Linked DNA regions of Arabidopsis thaliana. The protein of the gene in region 2 interacts with the protein of the main gene of each other region in a pairwise test. Each region holds a gene or a part of one and is shown on either strand. Other genes may lie near its edges.

Region 1 (4,426 bases), 5.6 Mb from region 2:
TATTTAGATTTTAATTATTGAAAATTAAACGTTAACATGAACAAACAAATAAAATGTTTAAATACCAAGTAAATATATATGAGAAGAATATTTGTATGAAAAATATATATAGTCAGACAATTTGGTTTTTTACACTTCTATAAAAATTTATGCAAAATGAGACTTACATGCAAGACTTGGTACTAATAATCAAAAATGGTGAGGATTGTGTTCCATGCTAGTGCTACAAGTTTTCTTATTCCTAGGATACAACATACCACCACTACTTTAAACTTACCCTAGTCCATATATTCACCCATCATAATCCAAATCAATTTTAATTTACATTGATGAAAGCTAAGCACATTATGTAAATTTACTAACCTGGAGCTTCCTTGTGATATTCTGTGATCCTAAACGTACGTATCAGCCACAACTACAAGAGAAATTGAAACAAATAATAATACGGGGATGGACATTATAAACTGAGATCGTAACAACCTGTCTTATGTTTGAGATAATTTATGGGCCAATATTTTGAACAGCTCATTGATCATTTCTATCTCTGCATGTTCATAGCCTAAAAGAAGAATATTTGAATTGATCAATTACTTAAATGTTAAATTTCCATTTGATCTCCGTAGGGAAGAAACACAAATAGGATCCGATCAAAAGGACAAACCAAGAGCCAAAATGGAGAAAGCAGCGTCTCTTAGTTGTAGCAAAGGATACAAGCCATAAGTATTACAAAATCAAGGATATTTTCTGTAACTGGAACAGAACATTTGATGTGGTTACATCATGTCTTAACCGGCCTCACAAGCCCCAAACCAGATCCACTACCCAAATGCTTGTACTCCTTAGCCTCAAGATGATCGTCGTGCTCAGCGAAACCCGTGCCTCCTTTCTTTAACCCAACCAAGTTCCTATCCTTGCAAGGTTTGTCACACACAAGACAGACTTTGTCGACGGGCATAAACTTCTCAGCACACTTCTTGCAGAAAACATGTCCGCATGAGCTAAGTGCCACGAGGGACATTGTGTTGGTGAGAGTGACTTTGCAGCTCGGGCAGATGTAGGATTTATCATAAGAGCTTGAAGATGCTGATTTTGTCTTGGTCTCTTCCTCTTCGCTGTTGTCTTCTGTGAAACGAATTGCAAAGAGGTTCTTAAGCTTGAGCTTCTCTTTGCCCTCTGGACAGACTGTGTGAGTTTCTGGAGCATCTACTCTGACCGAAGCTGCTGGTGTAGCTGATGGGAGCCAGAAGGCTTTCATTGTCCTAAGCGCTTCTTCTTCAAAGGAAGTCGTCTTCACACTGTTTGCCCCATGAAAACCATTCTTATCTTCGTTGTGATTCTTGTCACTGTTTCGAGGCATTGCACTATGGTTTTGCTGATCAAATTCGTCGAGCTCTCTCGCCTTTTGTAACATTAGCCTCTCTTCTTCTTCATCCTTATCTTGCTTCTTTTGAGACGAATGTGCAGCAAGCCTCCTATAGACATCTCAGCACTACATATCAGTATCTTAAATATACAGAGCAAAGATAAATCAGACACAAAATCTTTTTAAAATATGTAATTTTAAAATTCCCAACAGGTCCTAACAAGTGAGGAGAGTCAGCTCCAACAGTTTCTACACCGGTGGTTATTTATATACAAACTCAAACAATCATATGCAACCATAGGCTAACCCTGAGACCCGTACTCATTAAACCCAAAACAGAAGCATCAAAATCAACTCTAACATTACTTTAGTTATCACTCCATACGTTTATCCAAGCTTTCATGCCAAAACTCAAGTAAAGTTACCAGCTTCTCCTTCTCAAAAACTGTGGGACTAGTAGTAACAAAACCAGTACTCCTTTAAACAAACACTATTCAAGCATTAAATATCAGATCTTTGTTATCAGAGTGATGCTAAAGAGACTTGATCTAATCCATGACTTGATCTAAGAACCTCAATCATCCAATTCACACCAGATTCATGAGGAATTCAACAATCCTATATAGATACTAAAGCTAGAAACTTCAATCACAAATCCAAAGTGTTTCATAAATACATAACAAAGGAACTTAAAGTTCCAAACTTTTGAAAGAAAACTCCAAAAAGTTTATACCTTTGGATATCTTTCTTCTGAGCAAGGAAACATTCAAGTATACACTCTCTGCAAAAGACATGACCCTTATGGCAACACATCGGATCAATGAAAGGCTTCAAGCAGAGAGAACAAGCATCAAAGGGTTTGATCGAGTCTCTCCCCAATCTCTCTCTCTGAGTTCCATAACCTAACTTCTTCTTCTCGTCGTAAGTGAAATACGCAAGATCATTGTTGTTCTTCGAGTGTCTTTGCGGCATATTGGCGACGAATATTGAATTGGGGGTAGGATGAGAAGACGAGTCAGGTGTCTGAATTAAGGATCCAAATCGGAAACCCTATTTTCTCAGATTGGAGAAATTGGGGAATTGAGTTTTCCAGTGTTTCGTTCTCATGTAAGTCGGTGATGGTATCACAGCCTTTACCGTCCGATATGAATCTAATCTAACGGTTCCTAATTATTACCATTTGTTTTTTTCAGCAAGAGTTATTACCACTTTTTTGGTTATGTTTACTAGGAGAGATAGGTAAAATAAAATCTTGAATAAAGGTTTTGGTGTGATTTGTATTAAAATCTTGTGTTATTCAAACATGAATTTAAAAAGTTTGTAAAACTCAAGTGTTATTGGATTATTAATTTTAAAATGTAGAATCAAATCAACCAACATTGTTCACAAATGAGAACTTAGTTATAAATGAAAATTTTCTCTTTTAAATAGGATTTTTACAAATGGGTGGAAAAATATAATTTATAATCAAACATAAAAATGTAGATAACTCCACTTCAAGAGTGTTGATTTCATTACTAGCCCTAGGGATGGGCATACCGTTTTTCGGTTTGGTTTCACTTCGGTTTTTTGGTTTTACGGTTTTTAGTTTTATAAAAGCTATAATCATATAGAAACCGTAAATAATTTTTTTTTTTTTATGGTTTTACAGTTTTTTAAAAAAGAAATATGTGAGATGTCAAAAAAAAAAAAATTAAGAATACAAATGTCCAAATCATATGATTTAAGGGAAGATTTTTATAAATTTAATAACAAATTTTCTAATTCCCTAAAATTCAACAAAATCATCTTAAAACTCATTAAATCTCAAATCACTGGAAATTCCTCCTTCGATGCCACTACCTTTGTCCATATTCCAACTTCTCCAATTCATGTTCGAACAACAACGCTTTTTTCTTCACAATTAAGTATGTTGTTGAGCTTCTTCTCTTTTGTTGCTAAAAGTATGTTGTGTACAAATCCGATTAGTTTTTCATCGTCAATGTACATGTATTATAATATTTTCAACGAAGAATTTAATTATGTATAAAAAGTTGAAAACTATGGAGAAAAGAGTTCGAGACCAAATGGATAGTCAAAGAGCGTTTTGGGGAAAAATAACTTCTGGTCAGTGAGTCATCTACCAACAATTGTTGTGAAAGTAACATCGTTAACGGAGGCAACATCGTGACCGTCAAAGTTGAGTTCAATGTCACCAGAGTTCAAGAACGAGTGGAAGGTCGGCTGTCTCGGGGGTGGAAGTTGACTGGTTTGACTCTCCAACATCAACAAAACCGAACCCATGTTTGGTCTGTGAATGACCGAGTCTTGTGTACACAACATACCCACGTGGATGCATCTCATCGCTTCCGTCACGTCTCTAGTGTCCTTCACAATTGGATCTATCATCTCTTTTGTCTTTCCTTGGCTCCATAAATGCCACGCCTTATTTTTTTTTTTCCGTTTAGAACATTCATTAGTAACAAATATTCGAATATTTTAGTTAGACCTGAAAATTTATGGTTAAAGAAAAGAGACGTACATAACCAATGAGACTTCCATGATCAGTCCCTCGAAAGCTAACGTTTTTTCTTCCACTCACAATCTCCAATATCAACACTCCAAAGCTATACACATCTGATTTCTCTGAGAATATCCCTTCCATTGCATACTCCGGAGCCATATAACCACTACACTTGTTGAACATCAAAATCATTAAAAATTGATAGAGTTCGATATTGTTTAATTTAGAGGAGATAAAGAGGTTTGTTAAGTTACTATGTGCCGACGACTCGGATTGTGTTGGCATGGTCTTGTCGGTAGTTGAATATCCTAGCCATACCGAAATCCGAGATCTTTGGATTCATTTCCGTGTCTAGCAAGATATTGCTAGCTTTTAGGTCACGGTGAATGATCTTTAGTCTTGAGTCTCTATGTAAGTAAAGTAATCCCCTCGCGATTCCTCCAATGACCTCCCATCGTTTTCTCCAGTCCAAACTTCCTTGTTTACTCTCATCTGCGCAGAGTCATTATATACTCAATCCGAACATTTTCAAAACATTTTAATTGAAATTGTTTAGAAAA
Region 2 (5,076 bases):
GTGTAACGTGAAAGTATAACTAAGTTTAACTAGATGTATTAAAATGTTAAGGTAAATATCTTTGTTATTGTTCATAAAAAAAAAAGATTTTTGTAATAGAAATGGAATATAATGAAGTAATGAAAATTCCATATTGTTATATTTTGTTATGTTTTACATGTTGCTGCATATAGTTTATCTAAAACAGATTTGTGACAAAATAATATTCCATGAACAATTTTTGCCATGATATTTCTTTTGTCGTGATACATTCGTGGAAGGAAAGAAAAATACATATTTGGTTTGTTTTCACGTGGATATGCACATGTTTCTGTGTACAATTTACTAAATTGGTTTCTCTGGGTTTACATTGTCGATCTCTCCAAAAATAACAAGACAAAAAGAAAGAGAAAAATGAAAGCATATACAAGCAAGCAACCATAAAATTTTCGATGATTCTATTCTATAGGGATACAAATGTATTTGACTATTGGAAAACAATTACACACGTCTATTCGATGAGCACAAAAAAATAGAACTAAAATAAATTAACAAGAAAAATAAAACTAAAATAATTGAGGACAAATACAGATAATAATATTGGTGTAAGCGTGTACATAAATATTGATCGTGTGGGTGTGCCTGCGAAATAAGAGGTACTGTGGGTCTCACGGTTCGGCAGTGCGCGTGGGGCTCGTCCCTACAAAATTAATTATGTAACATAAATAAAATCAAGAAATATATTTACCAAAAAAGAAAGTAAATAAAAGATGTTAAAACGAAATGTCGTACATTTATAATTAAGAGTGTTATTCTCCTGAAGACTATACTGTACAAGTAATAATTAGTAGCAATGCCATGCTGCTCAATAAATATCAAAGGAAAGGACAAACTAAAACCATTATAATGTCTACGATAGTGAGTGCAAATTGAGGAATAGAGTCGTAAATAATGATATATTTTGTGCTTTTTCTATTGTTATTTTTACCTTTTTGATTTTCAGAATTAAATGATTTTAGATATACAAAAAATTAAGAATCATAATGATGGTTGCGTTAATGAGTAGTGGCGTGAGGGTTGTCATGTCAGCTAAACAGCAGAAAAATAAAAGAATGTGGGAGACAGGCTTTGCCCTTTTACACATTTTTAAGCTCTCTTCTTTATTTTCTAAAAACACTATAGTACACAGTTAAAAATTTGCGGGCCCTTTGTTTAATCGATTTAGATTTAACCAACAGCTTCATAGTCGTTTCTTCTTGTTAGAAATCAATAAATGAAAAGTTGGTTGTTTTGAAAGCATATAATTAACTAACAATGTATCATGTTGTGAAACAAAAGCTGATGATAAATGTTAAATATAGTGTCCAAAATTTTGGGAATGTCTTCAAATTTTGATTTTAAAACATATGAGATGTACCAACATCCACAAAATGTTTGTGAAGTTGTGACTTAGTGAGACGTTGTCACTTTATTATCTCGTTTTGGTAACGGTAAGTGCATGTGAACGTGTTTGATTATAAGTTTAACCCGACTTTGTTTACGTGGTCATAGTTTCCAATAAGGCTAAGTAGAATAGTGTATGATAGTTTTCAATTCAAGAGTCTTTTTTTTCCAAGAAAATCCGAAAACACAATCGTTTATTTTAATATCTCAAAAGAAATCATATTTCTTAGGTAAAACTATCATACGTTGAGTTTTTCTTTCTCCTTTTGCGATTTTCCCTGAAATATATTTATGTTGTGTGTGTGCTTTGTAAACAAAATAATAATGAACGTAATAATAGTAAAACAAAAAGTAACCTATATTATTATCATACTTGATATAACCCAATAGAGAAATAATAATATAAATTAAAATTTTATTTCCCAATTCAAAAATCATAATCAAGGAGTGAATGCTGCCAGTAGACCAAAGTAACAATATTTGGTGTGTACATCAAATGATAGGAAACAACAAAAACTCATTAATATACCTAAATCCATATATATATATATATATATATATTTCAATATTTCACATTGTTATAATTAGGTTTAATAGATACCATATTAGAAATCTCAGTATGGTGGTTCCCACAAGCAAAGAGGGGAATGAGATTGCTATCTACCTATATTTATATCTCCGCAACTTCACTCTTTTCCTCAATCAACACACACAAACACACACACACACAGCCTTTTTCCTTCGTTGATCGATTGTTAAGCTCGATCCAATGGCGGATAACACCGATAATCGGAGATCCTTATGGGGAGTTCCGGAGAAGCTTCAGCTTCACATAGCGATGCTGACGTTGCAATTCGGTTACGCCGGATTCCACGTGGTGTCTCGAGCTGCTCTTAACATGGGAATCAGCAAACTCGTCTTCCCTGTTTATCGTAACATCATCGCCTTGCTTCTTCTCCTTCCCTTCGCTTACTTCCTTGAAAAGTAACCTTCTATTTTCACTTCACTTCTTTATTTGAAAACCCTATTTTTTCTCTAGTTGCTAGTTATTTAATTACCAAACTTAATTGTGTTAATTTAGGAAGGAGAGACCAGCGATTACTCTCAACTTTCTCATCCAGTTCTTCTTTTTGGCACTCATAGGGTATATATTTATATCCTTCACTCTGATCTTTTCAATAACAAATTTGGATAATTAGTTAATGAATTATTACACGACAGAATAACAGCGAACCAAGGATTTTACTTGTTGGGACTGGACAACACTTCACCAACATTTGCTTCCTCCATGCAAAACTCTGTTCCCGCCATTACCTTTCTCATGGCTGCTCTTCTCAGGCACTTACTCTACACATCTCTCCATTTTCATTCTCTTTTGATTTATAAAAATAAATAACAATATTTTGGACAGCTTGGATATACAAGAACCACTTTAATAATGTCCATTTGACTTTTCAACGTAAAAGAAACGGATAATAATACACGTAGACAATATTTAATGCCGTTTCCATTTGCTTACAAAATAGTGATAATCATAGTAGTAACAACAATGTAACATACTGTTTATGTACTGTATGTGAAAAAAACAATAATTCAGGATTGAGAAAGTAAGAATAAACAGAAGAGACGGTATCTCCAAAATCTTAGGAACAGCTCTTTGTGTCGCCGGAGCTTCCGTCATCACCCTCTATAAAGGTCCAACCATCTACACTCCGGCTAGCCACCTCCACGCTCATCTACTCACCACAAACTCCGCCGTCTTAGCGCCGCTAGGAAACGCCGCGCCTAAAAACTGGACCCTTGGTTGCATCTACCTAATCGGTCACTGTCTCTCGTGGTCAGGCTGGCTTGTTTTCCAAGCTCCGGTTCTTAAGTCTTATCCAGCGAGGCTCTCGGTTACGTCTTACACTTGTTTCTTCGGAATCATTCAGTTCTTGATCATTGCTGCTTTCTGTGAAAGAGATTCTCAGGCTTGGGTTTTTCACTCCGGTTGGGAGCTTTTCACCATCCTCTACGCCGTTAGTTTTTCTTTCATCTGTTATAATTAATTCGTTTTTGGCCCTAATGTTTCAAAATAATCAATTTGGTCCTAATGAATTGATTTAACTTCAGGGAATCGTAGCGTCTGGAATCGCGTTTGCGGTTCAGATTTGGTGTATTGACAGAGGGGGTCCAGTCTTCGTTGCTGTTTACCAGCCTGTTCAGACTCTTGTCGTTGCGATCATGGCTTCTATTGCGTTAGGCGAAGAATTTTATTTGGGCGGGTATGAAACTATAATAATATTAGTGGTTTATATAAATACTTGATAAAATCCAAGGTCCTAAACAAGAATAATTTTAAAATTTGTTGTGCCACATGTCATATTTCTAATGGCAGGATTATTGGAGCGGTCTTGATCATAGCGGGACTTTACTTCGTATTGTACGGTAAGAGCGAAGAGAGGAAATTTGCAGCGCTTGAGAAGGCAGCGATCCAGTCCTCCGCGGAGCATGGTATTGAACGTGCACCTGTTTCTCGCAACTCCATCAAGTCGTCCATCACAACACCACTACTCCATCAGTCAACGGACAATGTTTGACTACTTTGGACAAATCACTCTCCAGCTAATAATTACAAATGCCATTACCCAATTAAAAGGGAACAATGGTGTGCCGTTGTGTTTTATGACTTTTGTGTCTGCTTTTTTTCTTAGTGTTTTCTCTTCTTTTTTTTTTCTAAAAAATTATTAATTACCTAAGAAAGGTTTTTGAAGAAAGGAAAAAAAATGGTGGATGAGACATCATTGTTCATGAGGATGATGATGATGATGATAGTGATGAAGAAGACTATGTGGGAGCTTTGGATTGAGACTTTTCTATATATAATATCTGGCTGATATATTAGTGCCATTTTTTCTTACATTTCTTGTGGGGTTTTTCTTTCCTTTATCATCAATAGAATGTTATAATTTGCATTTATGATCTTTAGTAATTATCACTGTCGGGGATGTTTAAAATGGATTAGATCAAACGCTTTGTTCTGAACTGAAGTAAAAAAAGATCTTTAGTATTTGATTAAAATGATCTCTTAAAGAAACAGTTTTTTTTTACAAATTTAGTTTATTATCAAATATCCAATAAAAATTCTTAACCGAATGAACAAGTTAAAAATAAACCAACATTTAATATATATAATATAATATGGACCAACTAAGTTATAGTATGGACCAATTCTTGAGTTGAAAGTCCATAGATTTTAACATGGTATTAAAGTTTAGCTAACTTGAGAAAGATGTGTTGTTCGATATATAATTTTTGGTCCAATATTAGAATTTTGTTTGAAATAGACGGATAAAAGCATTATTTTAAGGAGAACGTGTTAAAAATTTCACATATACACTTCAATGCTCTACATTATCTTTCTTGGTTTTCTCGGATCAGCTTACACGTCAGCTTTTTACATATAAAATATCATCTTTTAATTTGATGTAAACAAGAAGTTCATTAACAGAATTTCATATCTTATTTACCTTATACAAATAAATTTCATTAACAAAAGAAATTCATATACATAAGGAAAAACACAGTGCATAAGCGACTTTGTCTCATAATCGTTATCTGGCATAGGTTAGTCTACCATGTGGATTCAAGATTTCGTATTTGAATCCATTAGTT
Region 3 (3,697 bases), on a different chromosome or scaffold from region 2:
CGATAAACACTTGTCTTAACTGAATCTTTGGTTGGAAGCCATAAAAGAATCTGAGTTATCAAAGAATCTGGAAGTTCGCTGATTATATCGTTTCGCATTATGAGACGTAACCCTAAAAGCTTCTAAAACTACAATATCAAAAGGTGTTTTGCTCAGATTTCTCCAAATTCTAGGGTTTAAACAATCACAGGAAACGTAACGATCAAAGCAGGAATCAGAAGAACTCTCCGAATGAATAATAACGAATTGTTTTTTTTGTTTGTTTTTAATGTGAAGAACGAATTGCTTTTATATAGCAAATAAATTATGAATCCAAACCCTATTAAAATTTTCTTTAGTACAACTAGATAAATGGAAATTTCTTTTAGTTATTAATTAATAATATCTAAACTACAATTATTATATGTTGAAATTAAAATATTAATTCTTAAAGAAAAAAGACAAAAATATAATTTAACTGCGTAACTCTCTGTCCTGAGATTGAAACAAAACCAACAAAAGATGAAACAAGACCATGTGCTAACAAGCATCATCATCTGCATGTCAAACAAAGATAACTTGACATGTGGGAGAAAGCTTTGTTGATGTAAGAAGCTTCTTGTAGCTCTCGCTCTCTATAGAAGAAAAAAATGAGAAACGTAGAGTAAGTTTCTTGAGGACTGCTGAATTCTCAATAAAGTAATTTACTAGTTTAATCCCACTTTGCTCCATCATCATCAGTTTGTTAATGTGAACATACTCGAGAGTCGATATCAAACACTGAGGCACTTCGTGAAAGTCGATATTTTCTTCCTTAAATGCCCCATAGTCCTACGAAAAAATATGATTCAAACAATGTTCTGTAGCTAAATCACATATTTCAAGCAGATTCTTACAAAGCAGATGTCATAATATGTTCCAACAATATTCTTAGTTTGCCAAATTAAAGATCCATCAGATTCTTACCATGATTAGGTTTTTCAGATTTGGGCAGCTCTCAAGAAAGGTTGGCAATAGTTGTAACGATGTACCGAAGAACGAAGCCTGCAAATGATATAAGTTACGGAATTGGGGAATCCATCCTAGTTTGGAATAAGAATGTAGCTCCTGCAACAAAAAATACAAAAATTACATGTGAAGATATTTTTTTCATACAGAATTAAATACAATAAATTGTTAAATATACCTCTAGAATGCTCCCAGAAATGATCATATGCCTTACACTAGATATCACGGTTAAAAAATCACAGATAATAGCTCTCTTTCTTGGATCCTCTGCTTTCAAAAGACCGCCATACTCAAAACTAGATTTGGCTCTAATTTCGATACTAAACAAGGAACTCATGTTCTTTACCATAATCCTATCAAATCGACTCTCGTAAAATGTCATATACTTGAGTCGTGGAGCATCAATCTCAACTCAAAACTCTGTACCACTCCCATTGGTCGCAAAATATAAACGAAGGCTTTTCAGAGTCTGAGAGCTCACACGCAGAAACAGTATAACGTCCTGAGTCAAAATATCAAAAGGCTTAATCAGCTCAAGATCTTCAAGAACAGGACATCCTGAGATGAGCTTCTCCACAACCAAAGGGCCATCCTCACCGTAACAAATTTTCATCAGTTTCAAGATCTTGAGACAAGGTAGAGAAACAACAAAGTCTGGATTCTTCAACTCTACGTTATAAAGCTTCAAAGAGACCAATGTCTTGCTCTTGTAAATGTTTTGACGTATGAAATCAACTCTATTACAAGTATGCATATAAACATACAAATGTTGAATTCCACAATCAACCACTGTACCGATCAACTCCATGAATCGATCTCGATAACCATTGCATTCGAAATACCTTATCATGAACTTTTGCAGGCGTGACCTGCAGTTAGACTCCATAAATCTGTCCATAAACTTTATCAAGCCTTCTTCATGATGAGGATTTGTGAATTGAAGGCTGAATAAGTCAAGTCCAGGAACGTTTAACCAAAGATTTCTCCATCTCTTCGACGACACGCTTGTCTTAACAGAATCTTTGGTCCGAAGGTCTAAGAGTATCTGAGTTAGTAAAGAATCAGGCAATTCGTTGATATAATCGCACTCCTCCATCCCTAGATCCTGAACAACAACATCAACATCAAAATCGTGCGATGAGGAATGAAGAAATAACCGTCTCCGTCGATTTGATTTGACAGCAGATTATTGCCGGAGTTGGAGAAATCCTACTAGGCTTTGATTTGACGGCAGATTTGATTTGATTTGATTTGATAATTAGAAAGATGATCGTTAAATACTTGAATCGATCAGGTTCGAGAAATCCTACGAGGGGGTTTATCTTATTTTTGGGTTTAGGGCCAAAAGGGCCCTATAAAAAAAAACATAAACCAAAAGAGGACCAATGCAACTTACTTGCGGTTTACGAAACCTTATTGAAACCTGTACAATATATAATTTCGGCCAAAAATTGAAATAGTATAAGATATTAAGATACCTTGAGCAAAAGCCCATTATAGATGTAAATTCTTATTTTCTACTTCAACGACATACTTGTCCATGGTAGAGATATAGCACAGAACCGATTTTCGATGATGATCCAAAACAATAAAATGCATAGATAAATTGGCTTTTAACCATATGAATATTCCATAGTTTCAAAAATACAAAAAGACAATATTACCACCTGAGGTTTTAATTCCCAAGTTAAACCTAAACCACCTTGTCTATAAATGCAACTTTCTTAAGAATATAGAAACTGAGATTAAAGCAAGAAAAGTTGAATAATTTGACCTTTAAGCATTATAAGATCAAAACATGACACCCACGAGATCGTTTTGTTGATGTAAGAAGCTGCATGTAGATCTCTGACTCTTGGTTGGTCATGGGAGAATCTATGAAACTCAGAGTCAGTTTCTTGAGGACTGCTGAATTCTCAAGAAAGTATTTCACCAATTTAATCCCACTTTCCTCCCTCATAGTAAGTTGTTTAATCTCAACGTACTCCAGCGTCGAAATTAAACACCGAGGCAGATTGGTAAAGTCGATTTGCTCTGGCTCTGCTGAAATAGAATAGTCCTGCAAAGAAACAAGCTGAGTTTACACTATACTTCAACAAGGTTCTTTATTGTAAGCCAAATCACATATTCAAACACATTCTTACCAAGATGAGGTTTTTTAGATTTGGGCAGATTTCTAGGAAGGCGGGCAATAGTTGTAACAATGAGCTGGAGAACACAGCTTGCAAATGATATAAGTTATGGAATTTTGGAAGCTGTCCGATTTTGGAATAACGATAAAGCACCTGCAAGGATAATGAATATGATACATGTGAAAAATTAAAGTACATTTAATCAATGTGTTATATAATACATCAGAGACTTCAAATATATAGGTACGTACCTCCAGAGTAGGATGAGAGATGATCATATGTTTGACACTCGAAATACCGGTAAGAAAATCTCGGATAATATCTCTCTTAGTCAAGTCCTCCGGTTCCAAAGGACTGCCGAGGCCAAACTTGAGATTAAATTCAGTATCAAGGTCTATCTTGACCAAGGAACTCAAATTTTTTACAACTATTCTATCAGATTGACTATCTCTAAAACTCATGTACTTAAGTCCTGGTGCATCAATCTCGACCGAAAAATCGTTACTACCCATTCCCCAATCAAATGTTAAACGGAAGTTCTTCAAAGTTTGAGACATCACACGCAGAAAGTTAAGAAA
Region 4 (4,631 bases), on a different chromosome or scaffold from region 2:
TCTGCCTTCAGGTTTGTCTCACTTCCCCCCTCTGCTTTTGAACATCATCTTCCGCGGAACGTAGATTAGAAGAAACCATTATATATTGTTGCAAAAGGTTGAGAGAGGTTCTAGATGTTTCTATTAGGTGACAAGTGGTTGAAAGACAAAATTAATTAAAATTGAGGTGACGAAACAGGACTTTCAGGTGGGAGAGACAGTTAGAAGTTTGCCGCACTGCCATCATATGTTCCACCTACCATGCATCGACAAATGGCTTCGCAGGCATGCTTCTTGTCCCTTGTGCAGAAGACATCTTTGAATTGATTTTGAACTCTTCTTTCTTCTCTTCTTTGTACATGAGGTATAGGCATACACACACACACATATATACACACTAGTAGTCTTCCTTGATTTTTTTTAGATTACACGTTACACAGATTTTGATGCACCAATCATTGTAACTTCACTCATCTCTTGGAGATCCTGTTTATTTATGCTACTTATTCTTGGCTTCATCATTCAAAAAGGACATGCTGCACTTCCCAATTTTAGAAAGTTTGGGATCGGTTTTGCATAGACTAAATCCCAAATGAAAAAGCATATATACATACATATCCTTGTCGTCGAAAACAATGCTCTACTCTTAAGAACTAAGAAGAGAGATAATACATTTTACATGAACTAGTCCGAGTACAAAAATATTTGGCATGAGATCCAACATGTCAATAGCTTCAGTTTTAAATTATACATTTCTTATACCAGGAAGAGTGAACCCAAAAAGACAAAAAAACATAAAGAAAGAAAAAAAAAACACATATCTTTGGTTGGATAAATATAACTAGAAGATGGATGGAGCCTGGTTTTAAAGTTTCTTAGGTAAAGTGATACCACCACCACGGATAGAAACAGAAGGGGTTTTAAGAGAGGAGGCTCTGCTGAGCAGATTGGTGTCCAGGAAGAGGACGACCACAGTGATGTCGTCATGGAAATGCCTCCTGACTCCTCTCTCAATCTTGTTGAGATCAGAATATCTCATCTCTCTTTTCTTTGCTGCCTCCTGCAGCGCAGCTTTCACCAGTCTCCTCGCTATCCCCTGCATCAGCATTCTCACATTTACTCTTTAGAAAAAATCATCTATATATGTTTAGAAACTGAGAGTGTCTCATACGTTTCTTGGGTGGTTCTGAACGATTTCAACAGCCTCTTGGTTGCTAAGCTGCTCCCAAAGTCCGTCTGATGCAAATATCAGAAACTGATCGTCTGGTTGGAGATCATGCACGGTTATCGACGGTTCCCAACTCAAGATAGGTCTTTTCATTGGCTCCCGCAATCGGTACTTTGTGTACAAAGGTTCCTTGTTGAACTCCGATTTCTTAAGATACACGTCTCCTATGGATCGTGATACCTGCAAACACACAGACAACTAAGCTTTCAAGATTTGACAAGTGGCCAACAATAATAGCTTATCCAACTCAGTGAAGGAACATGACATAATAATATTGGCTCAGATTTTATAGCATAAGAAGATCTCTTTGTAGAGAGCGGCACCTGAATAATGCCCTTAACACGCCAGACATTGTGTTTTAAGACGACAATATGGGAGTCATCAGGGTGTAAGGAGTGCATTTCCTGCCTCACAGACTCTATGCTCACGTTATGCTCAGCTGAGAGCTGAAGCGCATTAACCTCACCTGTGGCCTTGATGACCTTTCCCAAAACCGCACGGGAGTCCCCAACGTTAGCTACGTAAAGCTTCCCATCGCAGACCACACCGATCAGGCAACAAGAGCCAACCGCTGCTATATGTGGCTTCACTGCCCACTGCTTGGCCACCACCCCTAGAAACCCTTCTTCGGTTGCCTCATAGGCCTTTCTTATCACATCCACAGACATGGAATCCTGCTCCGCTGCGAATCCTGCAGACATGAATGTTCAGTTCCAATGGTTCCCTAGCTAAATAAAATTCAGTGGTGAGTAGTAACAACAAGTAGTTACTCTTGAGATGGTGAAAGAGATGATCGTTGACAAAACGGGAGGTCTCAGGGCCTCCGTGGCCGTCATAGACGCCAACAAAGGTTCCATAGGGACCAGAAGAAGAGAGGGTGGTCAAAGGACCGGATTCGACCTGGCTCTGATCCTCGAGGAGGTTGTTGGCCTGGACAACGGCCATGGAGAAATCACCAAAAAGGTGGTGAGCAGAGTCTTTGTACCAGAGAAGGCCGTCTTGTTTGCCTTTGGAATCAGAATAAGTGTGGGAAGTGGTGGAAGAAGAGGGCCAGAGACAAGAGGTCAAAAAGTTGAAGAAAAGGGATAACATCGGGCCTCATCTCATATCATCCCCAACCACCGATTGTTATGCTAAAATGAATGAATGAAGTATGTTGAAAAAACAAAAGAAGAGAGAGTCGGAAACTTCCATTCATTCACTCACACAAAGAGGAGTTTTGTTTAGTAAAAAAAGCAACAGCTGGATGGAGATCTCAAGGAGATATAGAGAAACTATTAAGTTGTAAGTAACATGTGTGGAGAGAGATAGAGTGAAAGAAAAAAAGAAAAGACTCTCTCTGTTTTTGATTTCAGATATTTATTAGGAACAGAACAGAGGAAGCCCTTTTCCTTGTATATGAGAACAGAGGAAAAGAAGAGAGACAATTTATGGATCACAAGATTTCCAGAGCCTCTCTCTCTCTCTCTCAAATAACTCTTCTTCTATATTTGACCATCAAAGAAAGGACAAGAAGACACACATACGTGTGCACGTGCACTCCTTAACTCCTCCCATGTGGGATTTACAAACATACAATAGCTGTTCTCATTATTATTATTTCCTTCTTGCCTTGCACCACCATTGTTAACTCTATTCAATTCAAAGTTTCAAACCCTTTGACCAATGCATCCCCTTATTGGGCTTTGATTATATGGGCCCTTTCTATTTGATATTTTTCAATATATGGCCCGTTAATAAATTTAATATATAGCTTCGGCCTTATAAGAAGAATTCAAGCCCCTCACCGATACTCTAGTCCAAGCCGTGGGCAGAACCAAAATAAGAGAACAAAAAAAAAGTTTGTTTTCTGGAATCGTCGCGATAGTTGCTGAACTCCGTCGCAACTTCAATGGCATCTGCTCACTCCATAGCCGCCGTTTCTGTTCTCGATGCGGCCTCCAAGCAAGCAACACTTCCTTCTTCTTCTTCTTCTTCCTCTGCGCTCTACCCTCTTTCTTCTCTTCGATCTAAACCTCGCCAGCAGCTTCTCTCCCTACGCAGTGTCGCTCTCAAAGGTATCTTCTCTTCTTTTTCTCTGTTTATTTGGAATACGAGTTGCTTCTCCTAAACGTAATAGTCCAATTCTACCTTTGTTGGGTACAGTCGCATTTCCAGTTTGAATTTTAATATAGTTTGGGACAACGAAGAGGGGAGTGATTCAAATTAGCACAATCGTAATGAGTAGTTGTTGATATGGTTAGTTTGTTGATGAGCCAACAATGATTAGTTTGTGGTTAGCTTAGGTCGAGTAAAGGCGCAGGCAAAAGAAGCAGAAGCTAGTCCAAGTCCAGTGGGAGTGGGAGACGCATTCAGTAATGTGAAGCATCTTCTCCTGCCGGTGATTGATCGGAATCCTTATCTTTCTGAAGGCACCAGACAGGTTATTGTTTAGCTTGTTATCTTTTTGAGAACATGTTGACACCAAACAAAAAAGCTGATTACACTTAATTTGATAGGCTGCTGCTACAACAACCAGCTTGGCAAAGAAGTATGGAGCTGATATCACAGTTGTAGGTAAGAACAATTAGTGTTGCATTAATATCCCCTTATGTATCATATGAATTATATAGCCGTGTTGATCATCTGTGACCACCGTTGTTGATTCAGTCATTGACGAAGAAAAGAGAGAATCATCTTCGGAGCATGAGACTCAAGTATCCAACATCCGGTGGCATTTGTCTGAAGGTAAAATTGAGGAATTACTTGTAGGAAATTGTAGGTAAACTATAGTGTTGGAATCCCTTATTGAAGAAAGGTTAACTATAATGTGGTGGTTGCAGGTGGGTTCGAGGAGTTCAAGCTGTTGGAGAGGCTTGGGGAAGGGAAAAAAGCGACGGCCATAATAGGAGAGGTGGCAGATGAGCTGAAGATGGAGCTGGTGGTGATGAGCATGGAAGCCATCCACTCTAAGTACATTGACGCCAATCTACTCGCTGAGTTCATCCCCTGCCCCGTCCTCCTCTTGCCCTTGTGATCGCTCCCGCCAAATGCTTATATGATAGACATACCACTTGTTTTATTTTTCTCTGTGTTTGGTTGCCGTAGAAGAGCATTACTAGGAGAGGGGATGGAAATGTGTCAAGGTGTGAGATGCATGTGTCAAGCATTTCCTGTCTTATCATGGTTGTTGTTGTTGTGTCCTTTGTTTTCTCCGTTACTCACATACTAACGTGTTCGGCCACAAATTAAAAAAAAAAAAAAAAAAAAAAAAAAAAAAAAAAAAAAAACTCAATTAGAAGAGAAAATCTTTTTAATCTTATCCCCTAATGAATTACTTGGTACATGTAGAATAGAATCAAATTACTACAGGAGGCTTAATAAACACAACTTATAAATTTGATAGGCACGTCAAAAGTTAAAACAGGGATTTGTTAACCTCAGT

What was found.
Region 1: the proteins of WAT1 (region 2) and AT1G61620 interact in a protein complementation assay, tested with the Arabidopsis thaliana proteins (one large-scale study listed by BioGRID).
Region 3: the proteins of WAT1 (region 2) and AT5G44960 interact in a protein complementation assay, tested with the Arabidopsis thaliana proteins (one large-scale study listed by BioGRID).
Region 4: the proteins of WAT1 (region 2) and AT5G66080 interact in a protein complementation assay, tested with the Arabidopsis thaliana proteins (one large-scale study listed by BioGRID).

The regions. Positions count from the first base shown.
Region 1 is NC_003070.9:22,735,562-22,739,987, reverse strand, and holds AT1G61620 (phosphoinositide binding protein), read right to left. Parts: upstream 2,514-4,426; 5' UTR 2,336-2,513; coding exon 2,097-2,335; intron 1,473-2,096; coding exon 779-1,472; 3' UTR 545-778; downstream 1-544. Other genes in the region: AT1G61610 (S-locus lectin protein kinase family protein), read right to left, coding at 3,479-3,787, 3,885-4,032, 4,121-4,358. UniProt on the Arabidopsis thaliana protein: RING-finger E3 ubiquitin-protein ligase that plays an major role in maintaining COP1 homeostasis in darkness. Negatively regulates COP1 protein accumulation by targeting COP1 for ubiquitination and subsequent proteasomal degradation in dark-grown seedlings.
Region 2 is NC_003070.9:28,337,207-28,342,282, reverse strand, and holds WAT1 (Walls Are Thin 1), read left to right. Parts: upstream 1-2,007; 5' UTR 2,008-2,191; coding exon 2,192-2,406; intron 2,407-2,503; coding exon 2,504-2,566; intron 2,567-2,643; coding exon 2,644-2,760; intron 2,761-3,019; coding exon 3,020-3,440; intron 3,441-3,534; coding exon 3,535-3,686; intron 3,687-3,799; coding exon 3,800-4,001; 3' UTR 4,002-4,095; exon of another isoform or gene 4,096-4,501; 3' UTR 4,502-4,557; downstream 4,558-5,076. UniProt on the Arabidopsis thaliana protein: Required for secondary wall formation in fibers, especially in short days conditions. Promotes indole metabolism and transport (e.g. tryptophan, neoglucobrassicin and auxin (indole-3-acetic acid)). May prevent salicylic-acid (SA) accumulation.
Region 3 is NC_003076.8:18,152,238-18,155,934, reverse strand, and holds AT5G44960 (F-box/RNI-like/FBD-like domains-containing protein), read right to left. Parts: upstream 2,084-3,697; coding exon 1,469-2,083; intron 1,394-1,468; coding exon 1,166-1,393; intron 1,087-1,165; coding exon 946-1,086; intron 811-945; coding exon 544-810; downstream 1-543. Other genes in the region: AT5G44970 (Protein with RNI-like/FBD-like domain), read right to left, coding at 1-98; AT5G44950 (F-box/RNI-like/FBD-like domains-containing protein), read right to left, coding at 2,771-3,046, 3,132-3,272, 3,371-3,697.
Region 4 is NC_003076.8:26,422,733-26,427,363, forward strand, and holds AT5G66080 (Protein phosphatase 2C family protein), read right to left. Parts: upstream 2,717-4,631; 5' UTR 2,300-2,716; coding exon 1,978-2,299; intron 1,922-1,977; exon of another isoform or gene 1,909-1,921; coding exon of another isoform or gene 1,899-1,908; coding exon 1,531-1,898; intron 1,388-1,530; coding exon 1,151-1,387; intron 1,076-1,150; coding exon 845-1,075; 3' UTR 512-844; downstream 1-511. Other genes in the region: AT5G66070 (RING/U-box superfamily protein), read left to right, coding at 1-11, 179-301; AT5G66090 (cell wall integrity/stress response component), read left to right, coding at 3,099-3,264, 3,493-3,629, 3,706-3,763, 3,857-3,934, 4,030-4,223. UniProt on the Arabidopsis thaliana protein: May dephosphorylate and repress plasma membrane H(+)-ATPases (PM H(+)-ATPases, e.g. AHA1 and AHA2), thus influencing negatively plant growth and fitness.